Linked DNA regions of Schizosaccharomyces pombe. The gene in region 1 interacts genetically with each later gene. Each region holds a gene or a part of one and is shown on either strand. Other genes may lie near its edges.

Region 1 (3,242 bases):
GATGATTGCTTATCTGGCATTTATGGAAGATTGATAATCGTAAATAAGTTTATTAGTTGAGTACACTGGATTTTGTTCTATTCAGCTGAATAAAGAGAGATTACAACCGCCAATTTAAACCTTTTGAAGTAGGTTCGCAAATTGTCACCATGCAAGCAGAATTCAAGTCTAGTATCAACGACTTCCTGGAACAGTTACCAAATCATGCAAGGCTTTACCAAAAGCCAGCTGCTTGTCTTGCTGTGTTTCGTTTATTGCCAATTCTAGCTAGACAGTATGTCATGTCTATGCTTTTCAATCCTATGCCAGTAGCACTCTCAGATTTCGATTTATGGATCAAACTTTCGAGTAAAGTTTATCAATCTGAATCCTTCAACAAACTGGTTAGGATGCATATATTTCAATTTGATGGACAATATATCACTCTAAATAGTGAATTTCGCAAACAATTTATAACTGCTCTGACTGGAGGGTAAGTTTTATTGAATTTTGAGTATAAACTAATTAAGCTTTTTAGAGGAAATCACAATTCGTTTGGCGTGCCATGTACCGATGAAGACAAGCACTTGGTGACGGTTGATTTTCTTGACGCATATGCGAAAGAAACTTGGGAAACAATCTTGCACTTCATGGTAGGAACTCCGGAAGCTAAATTTCCTGGAGAAGGTGTCTTAAGTCTATTAAAGCGGGGCGGTTTAATGTCTGGTCCAAAAAACCAGCTACGTATTACCCGTGCCGGTTTTCAGTTTCTGTTACAGGATATAAATGCTCAAATTTGGACGTTACTTTTGGATTATTTAAAACTATCTGAAGACACGCATATGGATCCTGTTCAGGTTTTGCACTTTTTATTTATGCTTGGAAGTTTGGATTTGGGGAGGGCATACTCAGTGGACTTCTTAACAGATACACAACAAATCATGCTTGAAGACCTAAGAGAATATGGATTAGTTTATCAAAGAAAAATTACTTCCAAGCGTTTCTATCCAACCAGACTGGCAACAGGTCTGACAACTGATTATCGCTCATTGCATGGAAAGCAAAGTGAAAATGATGATGATAAAGGTTTTATTATTGTAGAAACAAATTACCGATTATATGCTTACACAAGCTCCCCATTACAGATTGCCATCATCGGATTGTTTGCTAACTTAAGGGCGCGTTTTTCAAATCTTGTTGTCGGTGTGATAACTCGGGATAGTATTCGTCGTGCTTTGATGAATGGAATTGCAGCGGAGCAAATTATTACATACTTGACAACTCATGCTCACCCTCAGATGAGATCGAATGTTCCTCTTTTACCTCCTACATTAGTAGATCAAATTTATTTATGGGAATTGGAAAAAAATAGACTTCGGGCTACTCCTGGAATTTTGTTTCGCGATTTTCTTACTGATTCTGGCTTCGACCAAGCAGTAGAGTACGCAAAAGAACTCGGGGTTTTGGTTTGGGACAGTTCCTTGAAAAGAATGTTTTTCATAACTACGACAGGCGCCCAGCCCATGATCGCATACTTGAAAAGACGAGCTGTCAAATGAATATTTTTTGGATGGTTCAAAAGAGAAGTGGTAATTAGAAAATATTAAATTAATCTCAAATCACTTGTAAGTAATTTACTGGTGTCAATAAACATATATATAACATAAGCTCAACATTAGCCATGTTAACTATACGCGTGTTGGATATTTATACGAAATTCAAGTTTTAATGATGCAACTCTTTAACGTTCAAATTATGAATTTCTTCTTCTCGTCATTAGAAAAAAAAAATATCCGTTATTTGAATAATCCAAACAATATTCATATTCTTGTATTTAATGTTCATTTAATTATATTACCATTTGTAATAATGATTTGGTGATATTACTATAGGCAGGCAAATGGCTTGTAAATCCTTACTAACTACAAGTATCGCTGCTGCGAGTAGCCAAGAACTGCCACAACATAACCAATTCACCTGAGGTACTTACTTTTACAGTGATTGATACCTGTTAAACGAAGTTTTAAGACACAATGGCAATTAATAGCTCTGGTACTAAGGTGCTTTCTTTCGTTCGTTCTGTTTGGCAGGATTTTGTAAATACCAATGGGTTTGATGCTCATGTAGTCAGTGATATACAAATTATAAGTGCAGTTCCAGGATTTGTAGAATGCTCTCTGAAACTGCAGAAGCATCACCTAAATCGTATGGGTAATTTGCATGGCGGTTGTATTGCAGCACTCACTGATTTGGGAGGAAGTTTAGCATTGGCCAGTCGAGGGCTTTTTATTTCTGGCGTGTCAATAGATATGAATCAAACTTTTTTACAAAGTGGTGGTACTTTAGGTTCATCAATTTTACTGCACGCAAAGTGTGATCGATTAGGATCAAACATTGCTTTTACGAGCGTTGATTTTTTGACATCTTCTAATGAGGTCTTTGCTAAAGGTAGGCATACTAAGTTTGTTCGAAATGCTTTAGGAGATCCTAGAAATTGCCTTGACTTAGCCGAAGATTAATTCTGCCTATATTTTATATCTTTCTCTGGCTATTCGCTTTTTCTGCTCTGTTTTACTCGCTAATGTTGATATGTTTTACACGATTTTTTCAGTTTTCATAAATTTAGGAATTAAAATAAGGGATTTTGCTATCCGTCGTTATCTATTGTAAGCTCATGTTATGGTTCGGAACATGCTCGCGTTTTAGTTTACAGTCACCGGTTTCCTTTTAATAACGAAACTTGGGCTGAATTCGCTCATGAAAACACTTAGTCCGGAAGGGAGTTTATGGGTGTTTGGTTATGGCTCTTTAATTTGGCATCCGCCTCCTCACTATGACTATAGTATTCCATGTTTTATAAAAGGTTATGTTCGCAGATTCTGGATGCGTAGTGAGGATCATAGGGGCACTGTTAACTCACCTGGTCTCGTTCTCACCTTGATACCTTATGAAGAATGGAAGCAATTTTCTGACTGGTCTTTCACCCCGTTTGATGAAGGATGCTGGGGTATGGCATTTCGCATTCCTGCAAAATATGCGACGCAAGTGCGAGAATACTTGGATGATAGAGAAGTCAATGGTTATACCGCCCATAGTGTTCCCGTTTATGCCCATACCGGTGATGAAATTCCGGTTTTGGAGAATTGTCTCGTTTACGTGGGTACTTCAAAGAGTCCCCAATTTCAGCCCTCAGACGACCTAACTCAAATGGCTAAAATCATTTCTACACGAAGAGGAAAGAGCGGAGATAACTTTGTTTATCT
Region 2 (5,259 bases), 3.3 Mb from region 1:
AGAGATAACCTCATCGACGATGTTTTGCAATCCGAGACTTCCGGTAATAAAAGAAAGGAACTCTTGCGCAGATCATGTTTAGCACTTACAAAAAATAAACGGATAGACTCTTATGAACGCGCTCTTTATGGCGCTTTATGTGGAGACTTGAACTCCGTCCTTGATGTGTGCACAACTTGGGAGGATGCGATGTGGGCTTATTATAATAGTATGACTCAGTACAATTTGGATGTTTATCTTTCTTCTAAGGCTCCTCAAACAGAAACACAATTGCCTCCAGTGGATAGTGGTTTAGGCTTAACTCCCGAATTGATTTTTAATTCGCTGAGTAACAGCTCTATTGCTTCAATCCAAGAAGAAGCATCACATCCCCTAATTAAACTTCAAACTCATATCATTTGTAATAAAATTTCGGAAATTTTGAGCTCTGCTCACATACAGTTGGAAGCAATTCGGACTGGAAATGCCCCTGAGTCTGGGGATTTGGTTACACCTCCTCTTCTTCGAATACTGACACACATAATTTTATTTTTGAAGATTTCAGGTCTTGCTGTGGATGAATATACTTCTGACTCTATTATCCAAGCGTATATTGAGTTATTGGCTAGTGCTAAAAAAGTTAACTTGGTTCCATTGTATATTCAGTACCTATCAAATCAAGTGCAGTACGAGGCTTATTCTCGATTCCTTATTCTTGTTGATGAAGAAAGTGCAAGATCAGAACAACTTCAATTAGCAAAAAAATATTCATTAGATATTAATCATGCGGCGTTACTAGCTGTTGAATATGTGTATGATGAAGTTGTCTCTGTTTCTCCCGAAGAAGTTCACACAGTATATTTAAAATCTATTGAGGAGCCAGTTGAACCATCTTATAAAAAGCTCATCTGCACCCTTGAATGGTTATTAATCACTTCACAGACAGATGAGCTGCTCCGATTTGCAAACCTTGTATATCGTTTCTTTTTAAGCATTGGCGAGCTAAATAGTGCATACGATCTTTATACACATATTCCCTCTGATGCTTTGAATACGCTAAGCTCTAGCGATGGTGAACCCGAAAACGATTCTAAGTTTAGAGATGCGTATGAACTGATGAACTATCGAGCTCTCTGCAGAGCACTTAAATTTTATCAAGAATGGGAAGAGCTTTCTAAACAAGAAGTATTTGAAGATTCTGCAGTTACGAAAGCTAGCACTTCTTATAAAGTTTGGAAAAAAAAATTGAATTTTGCCTCTCGTAAATGTGTAAAGTCCTTCACAGACTTACTTCAAGCTAACTGGCTTCACCCGTCTACATTGGAGCTGAAACCAGATGATGATCCTTTGCTTTATAAAACTCTTATGACTATTCGGAATTTGTATGTGCCTGAACTAATTCTCGGTTTGCATAATGTTTATTTTAGCCTTGAGGACTATGATAGCTGTTTTGCTCTGGCTAACGAAGTTGCCAGTGAAGATTTAAAACTTTACCATTGTCTTATTAAAAGTGGCAGACTGGTTGAATATGTTTCTTATTTAGGAAAGGCCGGAGAATGTAGCCTTTCAACCCCTAATGGGCTTTTTTCTTTATAAGTGTCAATGTATAAGAGATTCAATTCGAAAACTAATAGTGATGCTGCAAATGTGGTATCATCTTCGCATTGATAACCAGTTTATCTTAATACGTTGATTTTAAAACTAAGCTGAAAAACTTCCATAACTTTTGACTATTTCTAATATAAATTTTTTTTTCCAAAAAGTTAGACTATGAACTAAATCCAGAATTGCAGACACTTTGTTGCAAACATTCTTATAAAATTGTTTGAAAGTTCGGTTAATTAGGACCATTGCGCAAGTTCTTAAATCCTATAGTCGATTTGAGCAGTCTTTACAAATTTCGACTCGAAAACTGTGTTAGTGGATATATTGTGTAGGGTTTACTTTTATACTCAAAAAAACATTAAAGTAAGCAAATAGAAATATTTGAGTTCTTGACACCAATCTTCACTTAGTAAGAACCCATCGTATACAAGCTATTTCTACTACCACTGAATGTTCACGTTCAGTGCAATTTGCTTGAGGGAGCTTGATGGAAAAAGCGTCTAAAAATAAGGAAAGTGGGGTTAAAAAAGCGAATAACTCTTTTTTACAAAATTTCGGTGTAAATACAGCAGGGAAAGAAAATGAATCTACTTCATTACCAAGGTTGCCCAAAAGCGAAGATGAATCCATCCCAAAACAATCTATAAAATCTAAGAATAAAAAGAAAACCCAACATTTTCTTTCTGATGCTTTTGAAAGCTTAAAGAGACAGGAGATAGATACAAACGAAAAGGAAGTAATCGTCTCCGCGCCTATAACTAGTAAACCAGCTCAGGTTTTTTATAGTAAAAAATTGGAACGTAAGGATGAGGGAATAAGGAAATGGGAGAAAGATCCATTTGCCCCTATCTCAGTAAAATCTGGTGCGTGGAAGAAACCATATACCAAGGTTCCTGAAGTCTCAATAAATAAAGCAACTTCGAAAAGAACGGACTTGATAAATGATAAGCCTATTGTGATTCCAATTCCCAGAGCTTCTACTTCAACGCTATATTTTGGTAAGCACAATAAACCAACTTCTGAAAATAGAAAAGGCCCCATAGGTATACCCACTGAAGAAATCTTAACTTCCCAAAATACTCAAGCAATGCTACATAAACTGTTTGAGAATAATGTGCTGGACAATGTTAAGGACGATTCAATGCAGAGGCAGTCCTCGTTTATTCCTGGCATGCATATACGTCTACTAGATCATCAAGTCCAAGGACTTACTTGGCTCAAATCAAGAGAAACGGTGTCTAAATCTTCGGCTTCCGGCGGAATTCTAGCAGATGATGTAAGTCATGAAAATATTATTTGTTGTTATTCAGTGCTAATAATTTTTTTAGATGGGATTGGGAAAAACTATTCAAATGATCGCTTTAATTCTTTCGCATCCCTTACCAAAGAAGAAGCATTCAATCAAATCCACTTTGGTAGTAGCTCCACTCAGTTTAATTAAACAGTGGGAATCAGAAGTGCAGACGAAAAGCAAGTTGACAGCAATCGTTTATCATGGAGCATCCAGATATAAATTACTTAAAGTAATTCACGAATACGATGTAGTAATAACCACGTATCAAATACTAGTTTCGGAATGGGTGTCTCACAATACTACAGGTACAGACGGCAAATCGCCTACTGAAGCTAAAAGTTATGAAAAGAAAAAGCCAAGCTTGTTTGCCTTCTATTGGTGGAGGATAATACTGGATGAAGCACACACTATAAAAAATAAATCTTCTAAATCAGCTCTTGCCTGTTGCGCATTACAGGGCATCAATCGCTGGTGTCTCACTGGGACACCTTTACAAAACAATGTAGATGAACTTTACTCACTTGTGAAATTTCTTCATATTAATCCATTTAACGACCAATCTGTTTGGAAAGATCAAATTTCTTTACCTTTATGTCAAGGAGAGGAAAACTTGGTTTTTAAAAGACTTCGAATGCTTCTGAGTGTAATCATGTTACGACGAACGAAGACTTTGTTAGAGGCAAACGCGGGCAAAGATGGTACAGGTGGTGCTTTAAAACTTTCAAAGCGTTTGGTGTATAAGGTTATTTGTAAATTTGAAGAAAGTGAACGTGACTTTTACAGTAACTTGGCACGAAACATGGAACGAACGATGTCAAATTTTGTTAATTCGGGGAAATTAGGCAAGAACTATACTAACATACTGTGTCTTCTCTTGCGTCTACGACAGGCTTGCAATCATCCTCAGTCTTTAAATTTTCAATTTGAACAAGACGTTGATGCATTTAATGCGTTGGATGGGGCAGCAAACACGAACAAATTAGCTTCCGATCAAGATGTTGATGATTTGGCAAACCTATTAGAAACAGTTGAAATAGGAAGCCGTAAAAAGTCTTTTTGTACAATTTGTATGGCCGAGCTTCCTCCCGATTTTCATGAAAAAAAATGCAAAGATTGTTCTCGAAATTTTAAAGAATTGGATAAAGGAATTCAAGACCCTAATGATAAGACGCTATACAAGTCATCCAAAATTAGGGAAATCCTCAAAATTTTATCTCTAGATGAACAAGAAGAGGATGATACAGTTCGGGGGTTACGAAAAACAATAATTTTTTCTCAATTTACCACTTTTTTGGATATCATTGACTTACATTTGAGGAAAGCCGGTATAGGTTTTGTTCGGTATGACGGTCGCATGAACAATCGTGCTAGAGAAAAATCTTTGGACCTCCTTCGCTCTGATAGTGGAACTCAAGTACTATTATGCTCTTTAAAGTGCGGTGCTCTTGGTTTAAATTTAACATGTGCAAGTCGTGTAATACTTTGCGATGTTTGGTGGAACCCTGCAATTGAAGAACAAGCTATCGATAGAGTACATCGTATTGGACAAAGACGTGATGTACTTGTTTATAAGCTAGTGGTTGAAAATACAATTGAAGAAAAAATTGTCGAACTTCAGAATCTTAAACGAGACCTTGCCAAGCAGGCTCTCGGAGATGGCAAAAAGTCGGTTTTTACCTCCAAAAAATTAACACTTAATGATCTTTTGTTTCTATTTAACAAGCGTGCCGCGGCTTAAAAATCAGAAGGTGATAAAGGACCTAGCTTTTGAACTAAATTTTTGGTACGTGAATCGTTGTATGACTTTAGACGACTGTTTAATGAATAATATCTACTATTACATATGTTATTAAAAATATTAGAAAATATCATTTAGTCAAATGATTAAGTAAAAGTAAAATACTGAAGGAATGCACCTGGATGTAAATCTATATAAGGTAGATATTTGCCGAATGATACACCATTCGTAAAACATTGTAATCTGAAAAGAAAGCAATTTAGTAACTACCAATCCATGTTTTATAGACACTCATAAGACTCGTGGTAATACCAGCAGCAGCCACGAATCCGTCATTAACCTTAAGGATATCCAGTTCGGCAAGAGGAATTGTAGCGTCCAAAGCGTTTTGCAAAGCAAAGAACAAAATTTCCTTACGCTCTCTGCACAAATGTGGTTAGATATGAAAAATATGCATAAAAAGAAACTTACTTTTGCAAAGTCTGCAAACTGGTCGAATCTTTCTCAGATGCTTCTTGCGTTGCACTCTTGATCTTCTTCGAGTTTTGCTGTAGCTCATAGCATCCAGCTAAACAGGAAGAAAGCAGAGCGACAGCAAGACATTGCTTTCCAATCGTAGAAATCTGCTTTGAATGGGAGCAAG
Region 3 (4,106 bases), on another chromosome or scaffold:
ATCCATGAATCATTTAATTAAGAAATATTATCTAGAAGCTCGCCTTTCTTTAACTGTTCATGACGAGGTTCGTTATTTATCATCAGATAAAGATAAATATCGGGTTGCATTTGCCTTACAGGTGGCTAACTTGTGGACTCGTGCGTTTTTTTGTCAACGACTTGGCATCAACGAGCTTCCACAATCTGTCGCATTTTTTTCTTCCGTTGATATTGACCATGTACTAAGAAAAGATGTTAAGATGGACTGTGTAACACCCTCTAACAAAGTCCCCATACCTCCTGGAGAAGAGCTTACTATAGAGTCAGTTCTAGAAAAACTCGAGCAGTCCGGTCAATCACTTGAGCCACTTGAGCAAATTCAGTGTTTTGTGGATGTTAAAGCTACTACTTCAGCAGAGATTACAGAAGAAGACAAAAAAAACATTGCATATTTAAAAGCACAAGCATTTTACTGATCAGCAAAAGAATAATTTATTTTAGTTAAAAAATGTGTTTTTCGGTTAGGATAATTTTAGGGATAGTTATGACATTGAAAATAATTTTCATCAAAAGGTTTGTTTAGTGGAGCGAACGATGGTACTACAAACTGGCTCATGACGAAGGAAAAAAATCATTAAATTAGAGCAAGAAAGACACTTTTGTAACTAGCTGTGTCGATTTTCGGACATTATCGGAAATATTATTAGACAAAAAAAAAACAACGAGATAGTCAAAACATATAGAAACAGAACGGATCAACACGTATGTACACGAAGGGTAAGGGGAGTCTTATGAAAGGAAATCACAAGAAGGTAGCTAGAAAAGTAGCTGAGGAATCGTATTATGCACCAAATATTTTGATGGAAAAGCCATTTTTAACAAGCAGTAAAAGTACCATTGGCCTTGTCAATAGAAGTCTTAAGTGCAGCAACCCAGAGTATAAGTGAATCTTCGTTATCAACGCGAAATTCGATAGGTTTGTTTTGCGTAATTACGGTAAAAAAGTATTTGTGTGAGCTTTCCGGAACGTTTATTTCAGCAACATCCTGAATGTCGGCTATCGGTATCACTTTAACAGGTTTGTACTCTCGGTTCGTGTTGTAAATAGTCATACCATATCCACGAACAACAGCCCAACACTTGGACCACCTATGTAAATTTCCATGTAGCCAGTGAATGGTTCCTTGCATAAGAACTTTATTTTCATCCAAGAGTTTATAGAGATTTTGTAAGGAAGCCGAATGCCTGTGCTTATTCAGCGTATTAACTTCTTGTGGGTTGAAGGGGTAATTTGCATTTTCTTCATTGATACCTGGTGGTCTCAACTTTCCAAACTGTATCAAATCATAAAGTGAAGTACAGAAATGGTCACCCTGACCAGTTTCCAAGTCTAAAGGAGAAGTCGTTTGATTACGAGGTTCAGTCGAAATATTGTCGAAGTCAGTATCAGAGATCTGAACGTTAGGCTCGCTTTCGGTTCGAGATGAAGAGTTCGCAAGGATATAACTGATAGGATGTCTTGAAAACGGTGCCCTATAACCCGTTGTGGATCTTAGAACATGAACCCATTCCTCAGCATCCTCATTTGAAGTGGCAATGAGACGAATTATCTTTTCATTTAAATACAGGAAAAAAGCTAAACATTAGATATAAACATCAAAAATTCTAACGTACTTTTTGGTGATTTTTCTTTGTAGTAGGCAACAGCTGAAATATCCTGAGTAGGGAAAATAAATTTGGTTTTGTACTCCTTGAAGACTGTTAGCGCGTCGTTGAAATTTGCACATTTTATTCACAAACCTTTTCGTCTTTGTAAAAAGATAACTGATCTCTGCGAAGAACAGCCCATAATTGCTTTTTAGTCTAGGTTGTTAGCATCCACTACAAAAAAAACCATGAGTGCAAATATTGACTCTGAAACGGGAAGCAAATAATTGGAATATTCTGAAAATCAATTGGTCAAAGTGCTTGTAGGGTGCTGTTTGCATCATCATATCCCCAAATCAAAAGCGAACAATAAAGAATTAAGAGTACGTATCATTCACTTCTAAGTACACTTCACAAAATTAAAGAATACTCCAAATCCCTTTCCACTCAAACGTATCGTAAATATTACTCAGACAACTAAGTTAATGAATACATACAGAAGTTGCATGTCCTTTCTTTATCAACCATCCGGATTTTAAAACACGCTCAAGCTCTGGAAGCCTTCTTGCTTCATCAAGGCTAGCAGTTCTGAGATGCGATGAAACTCCTGGGTCCATTTCATCAAGCGAATAGTCAAACTAATAAACGCCTTCTTTCTTTTGAATACATCAAGAAAATTCCTTAAACTGAAAGGTGTTAAACTAGAACGATGTAAAGTCGTCCTCTATACAGATTTTGGTTAAAATCACGTTTCCTAACGCATACGTGTTAGTGGTACCAGCGACGTACATATTCAGTAATAGCGTTCATTAACGTATCGCTATTTGTCAAGTGAAATTAAAATGTATGGTAGAGAAATTTCAATAATAGAAATGATAGTACGAATAAATTGTAGCAGTAGAATTGAGAAGCCTTCTTTTTGAAAAAGGTAGTCTGAAAATATGTCATCTTTATTTTGAGAGGCATACAACCATATAGTACATGGACACAGTAATCGTGTAGAAGTGCTACATCTCGTATACTAATTAAGAATCAAAAGAACTTTTGTAAATCCTACTGTTACAGAAATTCAACTTTAGGTTGTATTGGTGCACAGTGGTAAGGGATTGTTGTAAGGACTGGCAGGATGAAAACAAAAAAGCTATTTAAAGGGAGCACTTGTTCGCTGTAACAAAAAGAAAAGCAACAAGAAAGAAATACTTTTTTAAATATTTTTTAGAGAACCACTTTCTCTAATGTAGAAAGCGTTGGTCTTTCCCATTCGGTTCGAGACCTATGAAAGCTACTCAGTAGATACTGAGTTAGTAGGGAGTAGGGTTTAAACGTGATTTTAGCATGGTTTCTTGGAATAATAATAAAAATTCCCTTCCGTCCTCTATGCCATCTTCTTTATGCTTCACTTTACGTCCAGATAGTTGATAGTTTCCGGTCTTGTAAGATGATTATTGATATGGTAAATCAATCACAATCGAATGAAAGATAAAAGAATAAGAGTATGTAACCCTTTAAGATGGGAAATATATCAAGCAAGAATGGGGTTAAAAAAAAAACAATTTTAAAGTCATTAAATCCTTTTTAATACCATTAAATAGTACTAATTTTGCTCGTGAGTAACTAAGGTCGGGTAGCATAGTTGGTTATTGCGCACGACTGTTAATCGTGAGGTCGAGGGTTCGAGTCCCTCCCTGACCGGATTTTTTATGCTTCAAATCAACTGCAGCAAAAACATACGCTCAATCAATTTAATAGAAATTTGCAAACACCCAAGAACATGTTTAACTCAGTCAGTTTACTGCGAAGCTCACATCCAAAAAGCAGGTTTGATGGCGTTTTCCTTTCTACTTCATATGTTAGCTTAGCAACCAAAAATGCTTTATTGAGCCCGTTATGCTGTGAATTTCCAAGCTTTCGAATAAAATTGTTGCATTCGTGTTAAACAATAAAAAATATTTTCCCTACTATTACTGAAATAAAATGCCTTGAGTATCGGAAATCTTTTCAAAATTCAGGATACAAAAAAGATGCCAAATTTTTTTATATTAAATCAAAAAAAGTAAAAGACGTTGAAGTCTTTATTGTAATACCTCTATTAAATGATGGTATAAACTGAGGAAACCTATCAAATATACAGAACAAAAAAAATTATATCCATAGTAATAGTGGTCAAAAATTAGGTATACAAACAAGATTAATGGTGGAACAAACGCAAGGGGATCTCGGAAAAGACCATGTTGAACTCATTAGCAGTGTCGCGAACAGCTTGATCCATGACACTACCGCCAGGTGCAGCAACATATTTGACACCGCTTTGGGCAAGACGATAGATGTTGTCAGGGAAGGGGAAGAAGGCATCACTGGCACAGACAACATCCTTGCAAGTAGCCAAAAATTCCTCCCGCTCCTTTTTAGTAAGAGGCTCGGGAATAGTCTCGAATGCAGACTCCCATTGCTCACGTTCACTACCTTCAGCAGGAACGG

What was found.
Region 2: mutations in the13 (region 1) and rhp1602 together harm fitness less than expected from each alone (positive genetic interaction), as found in Schizosaccharomyces pombe (one large-scale study listed by BioGRID).
Region 3: mutations in the13 (region 1) and opy1 together harm fitness more than expected from each alone (negative genetic interaction), as found in Schizosaccharomyces pombe (one large-scale study listed by BioGRID).

What each region holds. Positions count from the first base shown.
Region 1 is NC_003423.3:3,753,921-3,757,162, forward strand, and holds the13 (acyl-CoA thioesterase), read left to right. Parts: upstream 1-1,928; 5' UTR 1,929-2,012; coding exon 2,013-2,498; 3' UTR 2,499-2,729; downstream 2,730-3,242. Other genes in the region: transcription factor TFIIH complex subunit Tfb2, read left to right, coding at 150-472, 518-1,538; glutathione-specific gamma-glutamylcyclotransferase Ggg1, read left to right, coding at 2,737-3,242.
Region 2 is NC_003423.3:435,590-440,848, reverse strand, and holds rhp1602 (DNA translocase Rhp16b), read left to right. Parts: upstream 1-2,040; 5' UTR 2,041-2,071; coding exon 2,072-2,860; exon of another isoform or gene 2,861-2,912; coding exon 2,913-4,616; 3' UTR 4,617-4,759; downstream 4,760-5,259. Other genes in the region: nucleoporin Nup107, read left to right, coding at 1-1,575; peroxin pex11, read right to left, coding at 4,876-5,038, 5,088-5,259.
Region 3 is NC_003421.2:944,016-948,121, forward strand, and holds opy1 (protein opy1), read right to left. Parts: upstream 2,370-4,106; 5' UTR 2,246-2,369; coding exon 2,126-2,245; exon of another isoform or gene 1,845-2,125; coding exon 1,782-1,844; exon of another isoform or gene 1,732-1,781; coding exon 1,656-1,731; exon of another isoform or gene 1,618-1,655; coding exon 857-1,617; 3' UTR 501-856; downstream 1-500. Other genes in the region: pog1 (DNA polymerase), read left to right, coding at 1-457; ade10 (bifunctional IMP cyclohydrolase/phosphoribosylaminoimidazolecarboxamideformyltransferase), read right to left, coding at 3,817-4,106. UniProt on the Schizosaccharomyces pombe protein: Binds phosphatidylinositol 4,5-bisphosphate (PtdIns(4,5)P2/PIP2) at the cell membrane.